Linked DNA regions of Drosophila melanogaster. The protein of the gene in region 2 interacts with the protein of the main gene of each other region in a pairwise test. Each region holds a gene or a part of one and is shown on either strand. Other genes may lie near its edges.

Region 1 (4,495 bases), 7.4 Mb from region 2:
ACTTTAAGTGTTGATAACAAGTAATGCCTAAAAACGAATATCACAAACCCAACACCCGTTCATAAAAAACCTAGTACTCCCTAGGGATAACTTGAGATAACATCAAATTTGACTCATCGAGTGAATACACTTTATCATAATTAAAACAAATTTTTACTCAAAAATTGCAGCAGTTATCTACAGCATAAATTCGGAACTTGTGCTGGAAAACAGTTGAAAACCTGAAGAAGCATGTAAATGTACGTTTTACATGTACATTTTGTTCTATAGAAACTACAACAAATTCTAACAAGCATTATTTGCTTCATAAACAATTTTTGACAGTAATTGAGGTTTTCTTGGTGAAGAAGTTCTAACAAATAATAAGAAACCTAGGTGGGAATACCAAAACTATGATGGTCTAATCATTTTTGGCTTTAAGGTGTCAAGAGTGGGAACAATTGGCCCTTACTTTCATTATGGAAAGCACGTAACCGTGTTTTAAGCACCTCAAAAGAAACCGCATGGCGCGTTCTTAACATCCTAATTGTCTTGATTTCAGCCATAAAATTGACAATATCCAGCTATAAGTAACTCCGGTCGAGGTTATATTATACACAAATTGGGTTTTATGTTAACAGATCGTTTTACTGTCGCTATTGATTTATCACTGTACCGCTTAACATAGTATATGGATCGTAGACAAAATCGTTATTAAAATTATTATGTATCAATCATTTTATTTCGCGTAACTTTGTGAACATTCATCGTCGTTTGTTTTCTGAATGAACGTAGCAGCGTTTTCGCCCCTTGTTTCCTGTGCACAAAGTACATAGTTGGTTGCATGGTCGGTGAAATAAAACGTCAATCTACATATCAAACTCCTTAGCAGCACATACAGACTCTCTACGATGCGAACTTGGTTTCTCTAGAAGAAGAAGCCGAGAATTTTGCCTCCCAAATGTTTTCTCCTAGCCTCCTCGTGGTCCATGATGCCGCCAGAGGTGGTGAGCACAACGTAACCAAACTGACGCGAGGGCAACAGATTGTTGGTCCATTTCTCGATGTCGTTGATGGGCACATCGAAGCGGGGCGAGATGACGCCGCACTTGTTTAGCCTACCGGTCAGGTTGACAACGATCTTGCCGGAACGATGATCGTCGACGATCTCGAATTCGCCGATATAGCCATGCTTCATCATCACGGTCAGGAACTTGATGATCACCTTGGAGCAGGGACGCAGCAGCACCTGCCGCTTGCCACGCTTCTCGGCGTTGTTTATGCACTTCAAGGCATCGGCCAATACGTTCATACGCACCATGGCTGCAAAATGTTCGGGAACACAATTAGTCAAGAGGCAATAATCACAGAAAAAAAAAGATGATGTCTTGGGCTTTAATCGAAAGTGCAGACTTTGCCACCCCCATTGCTCTATAAAATCAGTCTACAAAACCAAGCAAAACGTGCTCAGAGCCTACTAAAAAAAAGTATCTCACTAAATTGCATATAACTACTATATAAGTAGTACTATGAGGTTGGCTAACAAAGCTTAAGCCCTATTAAATGAAAAACTAACTTGAAAAGTACGTAAAACTATGTGTACTACAAGAACAGATCAATTGACCACCTAAACAAAACATATCAACTTATGGAGCCTATACAAGTGTGGCATATGACTTATTGGAAAAAGGTTTCCCTAACACATATGAACCATTATGAGCATAATAAAGTATTCAATAAAAGTGGCTACTATTATAATACTCTAGATTTCTGGAGGGCAGGAGGCGTGGCGCCTTTTCGGAAATTCACGCGGACAGACGACGAATCGTTTTTTAATATTGATTATGATTTTTAACAGTTTTTTACTTCACTTTTTAAATCAGCGAGGAACGGAACATTGAATAAAAAAAGAAGCAGAAACAGCAAGTAAAACACGTGCAAAATAGCAAAGAAAAAAAAATGATACTGTCTGTGTTTCTGCGGCTGTGTGTGTGTGCGTACAAGTGGCTGTAAACAACAACTATTTCGGGTAAGTTTACCAACTAAACTGCGTAAAAATTTGTTTAATTTAGCCGGTTTTCGGTCGTGCATTCGATTCAACTGAATGCCCAACTTTTTGCCACAATTTAAAGCCGCTCACACCCACCCACACATGCACAACAACACTGTGCCACACACTTTGGCCAATTTTTCACTTCATATTCGTTTGCACATTAAAAAAATTATAACCAAAAAAATACATATATATAGCGCATGTAGCGAGGCATTTCATGCATTGTTTACACGGTAAACTGATCAGTTTTGGCACATTGGCCCACAGTAAAAAAAAATGGGTAATAAAAAAAACGGAGTTGGGTGGATTTGCACATGTTTCGGCCGGCGATCGCCGCCAATCTAATCTGGCTGAATTTTCGCGCTTAAAACGGGTCCAATGGAAGCGGCATTTACCTGGATTTGTTTGCAAAAACTGTTTTACACGACCGCTGCAAATAGAGGAAATAAAAGAGAGTTAAATACAATTTTGTTGAACAAAACTCGGAGTACACGTACTCACGCAAACGTGAAAAAGGGAAAAGAAAGGGAAACGGAAGGAAAAAGACGCAGAACAGTGTGGCCGCGTTTGTCGAATGTGTCTACGCTCAACGTGCCTATCGATAGTTAGCCGGACGCAGGCCGCGGTTGCTGGCTTGACTAAAATCGCTTCCAATTATTTGGAGCCCAACTGCCACTATGCATGTGAATAGACTTGAACGGCTTCAGAAGTAATCTTTGATATTTCTCTGATCCCCCCGAGCATCATGATCCCGTCTATATTTTTCTGCGTAGCCAGACTAAGGACCGATGTTTCCATTGGCGTAAAAAAATAAATAAAAAAAAAACAGCAGGCCTTAAGTGATAATTAAACGCTTTATTAACATAACAATTTATTTATATTTAAATTTATTTTAATTTGTTTCAATATTTCGCCATATTTGTATGTGTATTTTACGTCTCTAGAGTTGCACTAACATGATTTCAAGGGGTAAGAGCCTTGGTTTGGCAATAAAACAGAAAATAAAGTAATGATTGGTCCATTGAAACACAATTAAATACAAGTTGATTAAAGCACAAGTTTTAAAGTAGTTTCACATTGAAATAACGAATTTTGTGATACTATCCGTGTTTCAAACTATTATCTTAATACTATCGAATGGTCCTCCTATCGATATACAACGGTTCTTTTAGCCGGTAAAGCGTTGCTGTCAGCAGTTTTGCACCATTGAGGGATTTTTGTGGTCGCTTCAGACGGTCATACTAATTATTCATAAATAAACAAGAATGGCAAAACAGTAAGTAATTTGTTAAAAATAAACAATTTGAGCAGTTTTTTAAGGACCCGTTTCAACACCGTGCAGATATGGCCTTATTTTACCCGGCCAACAGAAGAAAGTACCTCTAAAACGAGTCGAAAGGCCCTCCATCTTCGACGAGAACAGCGACTCCGAGACCGATGATGACCCAGCTGCTCCTCAATTTCAGCCAAGAACCGGCGGCGTATCCATGGGTCCTAGTCTAATGGAACGCCGCGTGGCCCGCCGGCAGCAGGAGAAGGCCCTGGCCGAGGATCCAACCATATTCCAGTACGACGAGCTGTACGATGACATGGACAGCAAACGCGAGGAGGCCAAGCAGACGAAGAGCCAGGAGCCGCGGAAACCAAAGTACATTGGCCGGCTGATGGAGCATGCCGAGCGCAGAAAGCTGGAGAAGGAGCTGCGCATCGAACGGCAGGTGCAGAAGGATCGCGAAGCCGAGGGCGAGATGTATAAGGACAAGGACACCTACGTGACTGCCGCCTACCGCAAGAAGCTCGAGTCCATACGCCAGATGCAGGAGCAGGAGCAGCGTGATGAGTACCTCGAGGCCATTGGCGATGTGACCAAGCAAAAGGATCTGGACGGCTTCTATCGCCATCTATACGAACAAAAGTTGGGCGGTCCCGCCCAGCAGGATGTCGTCAAGCCAAAGACGGCGCCCACCACCGACGAGGTGGCATACAAACCCATTAAGGCAGAGGCTGTCAAGCATCGAAGCTATCGGCGACGTCGCCCCTCCGAGGATGAAGAGGAGCAGACTAAGAGCAAATCAGACGCAGCCTCGGACGCCACGAAGTCAACGGATCAAACGGAAAGCATACCAGCGCAGGCACATTTGACCAACAACATAGATGCCGATTCTGATTTTAGCATAGACGACTCCAGCGATGAAGAAGACGAGAAGGAGAATGAGAAGGAAAAGAATAAGCTGTCCCAGATCAAAAAGGAGGATAAGGACAAGGCTCCGGAAAGTTCAGAGCCCGTTAAACCCAAAGAACCCGAGGCCTCGCAACAATCCCCCACCAAAAAGGATGATTCCAATGCCGAAGTGAACGAAAAGGATCTACCCGTGCCGAGAGTCACCAAACCGCCTGTGGATCGCACACTCTTCTGGCGCAAGAGGACCGTGGGCGAGGTCCTAGCGGCAGCCTTGGCTCGCT
Region 2 (4,943 bases):
ATATTTATGGCTTCTTTTCTTTTTATTTTTTGTTATATTTTTCCGATTTGCCGTCTGCAGTGCAGTTTTTTATTGTTTGTTTTTAATTATAAATATGAGCTGATATCAGAGAATGAGGGAAAAAAAAAGTGGGGAGCTCAATGAAAAAGAAATGGTTGCAAAATCAAACCCTTTTTCGGCGAAATTGAAATTGAAAACGCTGTGAATAGATTTAAGGAACTTTGTCGGCATTTGACAAACATTATTTACGCATTGCAAATTATAGTTATCATTTTTCATATATAGTGCGCAAAACATAAACAACCCCAAAATTTACGTAAGCGAATTTTATTTGCCAACTACCAAAATGAAAATAAATAAACACATAGAGTAAACTAAACTTAAAGCTGGTATGACAAAAAATGACAACAACAAAATAATCACACACGAAAAACAATATTTCGTGTCAAAATTTGTGTCGTTTTTTGCTTTATTTCCTACTGCCGCATTGTTTTTCTAAAGAATTTTTATTTGGTTGCGGAATAACACGAAAATAAGTGTGATTTTGTTATAAATACTTCACGGCTTTATTTCGACTCGACTGTGGGAATACCCAAAAGTTTTTTACATGATATATCATATATTACGAATAATTTATGATAATGAAATCTAGATGCAAAGCTTTCAAATCTCGAAGCCCAGGTAAATATGCATTTATTCGAAATCGATTTGAAAATGTTTTATATTTCGAATTTGGTTTTGTTGGAATATCAATCGTTGTAGTTTTAGACTAATTTTAGGCTTTATTTAAGCGTTTCTCCCACATTTATAAATTAATTAATTATGTCCATAGGTATGTATATGAACATATATGCATATATGTATGTATATATTCCAAATTTGGGGGCGTGGCACGTCGGATGCTGACCTGCCCTTGTTTTTTTGCCTTTGGCTTGCTTGTTTGTTATCGCTTTTGTTCTGATTTGTTTTTGGACAATGAACTTGAAATTTGGAGCACGCGTTTCACATGTAATTGAAATGTGTGTGAGTGGGGCGAAGGCGGGTGGTGGGGGGTCGATGAAGATGGGGAGCAGAGAGCAGCGAACGAGAGAGAGAGCACTCACGCACACCAACACTAGCGCACAGAAGCCAGGGCCGGATCAGGGGGTAAATATTCGAGTTAAGTGCCATTAAATATCTTAAATGTTTTACGTAATTTTGTTGCTCAATAACCTATATATTTTGTTAACTTCATGTTCTTCTTGCAAATCGGTAGCTTGGTTCAAAAATTTCCAGATTCGCTCCTGATACGCTCTCTTCCTCTCTCTCTCTCTCGCTCTCTGCCCCCCCTCCACACAATCTTCCACACACTGATTCGCTGTTTTATTTTTTTTTGCGCAGGCGAATGCCGCTGTGAAAACAAAAAACCGAATAAAACAGCCGACAAAAACAAAAGGAAGGAGAAACGTTGACGGCGACGTCACTCAAATGCGATTTGCAATTTTAATTTTTGCCGTTCATGTTTTGCAGTTTTTGTTCATATAATTAAAGTTGTAAAAATGAATTGCCATACAGCAAAAAAACGAGAGAAAAGTAAATTGCAAATTGTAAATTGCTTTTGCCATAAAGGCGGAAATGCCTCTCTCAACAACAAAAAAACTCGCATTCAAATAGTGCAACAAAAAACTAAAAACAAATAAGCCGAAATCGACAACAAAAAATAAGGCTAAACAGGTGAAGAAGAAAACTAAAAGCCACAGAAATAACAAAAACCGATAAACCAAAATTTAAAACCAGCACAAAAAATAGCCCCAAAACTTAAGATATACAATTGTGTTCGAAATCGTAGTAAAGCTATTTGAAGCGCCACAAAAATTTACATTTTTTGTAAACATTTTTAAGCATCGACTATTATTTTGGGTACAACTGTAGCAGATAAACAACAGCCCGCAAAAAACCCTAATTATCAAGCTTAGACAAAAACTACAAAAAAAGCGAAAAAATCACACAAAAAATGTAAATTACTGGCCTATGAATTTAATTAATTTTTTGCAACTCTGTAGGTTTTTTCCCCTCTTTTTTCATTTTTATCTTGGCGATTAGTTGGCAGCAACAATTACAATAAGCGAAGAAAAAGCGCCAATCGTTTCCTGAGCGAAAAACAATTGTTTACAATAATTGCATGCGATTATTATTTATGTCAATTTCGAATATTCAGCTGGCAAAGTCAACAAACCCGGAAACCTTCGGCGAGAACAACGGAATTTTTATCGTAATATTTTGTTCGCCTTTTTGCATTCAACAAAAAAGAGCACGCACAAAACAAAACATGCAAAAAAAAAAAGAAGCACAAAATATATGATTGAAAAACAAAAACGATAAAAAACAAGGGGAGAGCGGCGAACAAAAACAGAAAATCGCACAAATAACACACAACTTTTGTTTGGCTAAAAATAAAACGACGTTCGTTTTGCGTGTCTTTTTAGCACATGAAATAAATAATTTGTTTTCTCACCTTTTCTTTATGACTTTTCGCGCTATCTTTTCTTTTGGCGTTTTTTTCCCCCCTCGAATTTCTTTTACTTTTCCTTTATGCTTTTTGTTTTGTTATTCGAATCGAATTGCACACGCAGCAGAATTGTGTCGAAAAAAATTCATTCATTCATTTAATTTCTGGCTTGCCATTTTTGTTTCATTTCTATATTTTGTTTTTTAACATAAAAAAAAATAATGCGAAACAGCGAATTCAAAACGCGCGCTTTTTCTTTTGCCTTGCGAGCGGATAACGGTAAATGCGCACAGCAATGTTTTAACATTAAACACTAACCACTAAATTGTCAGGAAATTCACCAAAAATAAATGTTCTGTTTTGGAATTGTTAAGAATGTTAGGCTCATGTGTTTGTTAATATTTTCCAGGAATTTTCTTTTAGCGGCGCAGCGAAGTGAAACGTACCGCGGAGGAGACGGATTTTTGAGTGAAAAGAATTGAACTTTCGTTGTTGCTTATATAGACTTTGGCTGGCAGCAATGTTGCTGGAGAGAGATGTTGCACTCTCCCAATCGGTTGGCAACTTAAACCGGTTCGCAGTACCAGCAATTTGGCGGGTACTTTAAATGCCTTAACGTTATCGCGCGTTTGATAACTACGTACATTTTAAGGGATTGAGAGAAACGCATATTATGATATAAAATAAAGTGTTAATATTAATTGAAGAGGCACACACGCTTAACATTTCCACAAATTGTAAATATTTATACAAGAATTGGTAGCTATCGCTAGCGTTGCCAGACGGCGCCAAAAGCTTCTAAATCCAGCGATCCAACTACCCAAACAGCTGATATCTGTTAGCCTGGTAAATGTTGTTTACCAACGTAACGCGTGTTTTCGCTTCGTTGTATTTTCGGTGTCGAATATTTTGGATGCTGGCCAAGAGATAGCGCAGCGATCGGGTCGGAACTCTTGGGCGGACTTATCACTGGGTCGGTCAGGGGTCACGGGTTATCGTTATCGCTTATCAGCCAGCGGCGGCGTCATCTCAGCGCCGGCGACTCTTCTCACTTTGCGGCAGTTCCGATTCGAACGCAGCCGTGTGAGTACTAATAATTACCAAGGATTGTTGAAAAACATCCACTAAAATCTATAAAATTCTGCTTATTACAGTTACAAAGACATGCAGCGGGCGCGCTCTACACTGACACAAAAGCTTCGGTTTTGCCTTAGTCGGGACCTGAACACCAAAGTTGGCAACCCGGTTAACTTCGAGACTGGAAAGCTTAGCGGAGCTTTAACTCGCATCGCCGCCAAAAAACAACCATCACCAACGCCATTCTTACCGGCGATCAGACGATATTCGGACTCCAAGCAGAGCACTTTGAAGGTGAGTTCGCCGGGAAAGTCCCAGGCAAAGTGAAGGGGAGGGTGGAAAAAGTGTGGCTAATTGAACCATTTGGGGGACTCGCATTTCGATTGCCTTTAATTCTTGCAGTGATCGCGGTGCTCAGAAAGTTTGTGTTTCGCTTCCATTTGCGGCTCCTGGCATGCCCGGCTAATCGCCATGTGCTTCATGCGTTTCATTCAGCCATGTGTTCCCACACTGCACTATCCCTACGTGGATGGCATGCCATCGATCCGCTGAAAGTGTTGTTTATAGTAGTATCATTGTTAAGTACCTATGTACATGTGTAGTTTAATTGAGATCTTATAGCATATGTACATATATGTACCGTATTTGTATCAGTGTACTGTTAGTGTATTCAAAACGTCGCCATGCGCCAAGTTTGAATCTTTTTGATTCACATTCGCTACCTCGGCCTGAAACTCGTTTTTGGGCCTACTCGAATTTCTCGGCTGTTTGCGCCCTATCGAGCATTGTTGTTGTCATTCTCGTTTGCACTTGTCTAAATATTTAAACTGATAACGCAAAAAAAAAAAAGAATCTGGCATTGGCCATTAAATCGAATTTCCCATTCGTGTGGGCAGATTTGTATATAAATATACATACATACATATGTATATGCATTTTGCACTCAACTTGTGGCCAGAAATTAGCATTCAATTTAGTGGGAATCACCAGTTTCCAGTTTTTGCAGCTAAAATTTTGCGTGTCCAATTCATTTCTGCGTTGAAAATAGAAGAATCTTCCAGGGATTATTAGTTAGCAGCTGGAAACGTTGAACAACAAAATGGTACTAGAGATACGTAATTTGCTGGAGGAAGCTACATACATATAAACTTGTCCATTTTCTGCCAATATTCTCCATTTCGACTATATACGTACGTTTCCCGATCTTTCCGAAGTGCGTCAGCTGCAAAGGGGGGGCAGTGTCCTTATCGTCGTCCGGCGACTTGAACTGGTGACCCAGACGGATGATAATCACTTGACGATAAGCGGATCGCAAATAGACGCGCTCTCCCATCCATGGGGGGTCGCATTTTCGATCATGGGCGTGTTATTGCACCCA

Evidence for each region. Proteins that work in one complex are often made in the same cells at the same time.
Region 1: the proteins of CG3726 (region 2) and RpS15Aa interact in a two-hybrid assay, tested with the Drosophila melanogaster proteins (one large-scale study listed by BioGRID).

The regions. Positions count from the first base shown.
Region 1 is NC_004354.4:13,335,078-13,339,572, forward strand, and holds RpS15Aa (ribosomal protein S15Aa), read right to left. Parts: upstream 2,562-4,495; 5' UTR 2,428-2,561; intron 1,303-2,427; 5' UTR 1,301-1,302; coding exon 908-1,300; 3' UTR 560-907; downstream 1-559. Other genes in the region: CG15747 (uncharacterized protein), read left to right, coding at 3,298-3,308, 3,375-4,495.
Region 2 is NC_004354.4:5,915,179-5,920,121, reverse strand, and holds the start of CG3726 (uncharacterized protein), read right to left. Parts: upstream 3,026-4,943; 5' UTR 2,495-3,025; intron 1-2,494. Other genes in the region: Shmt (serine hydroxymethyl transferase), read left to right, coding at 3,653-3,859.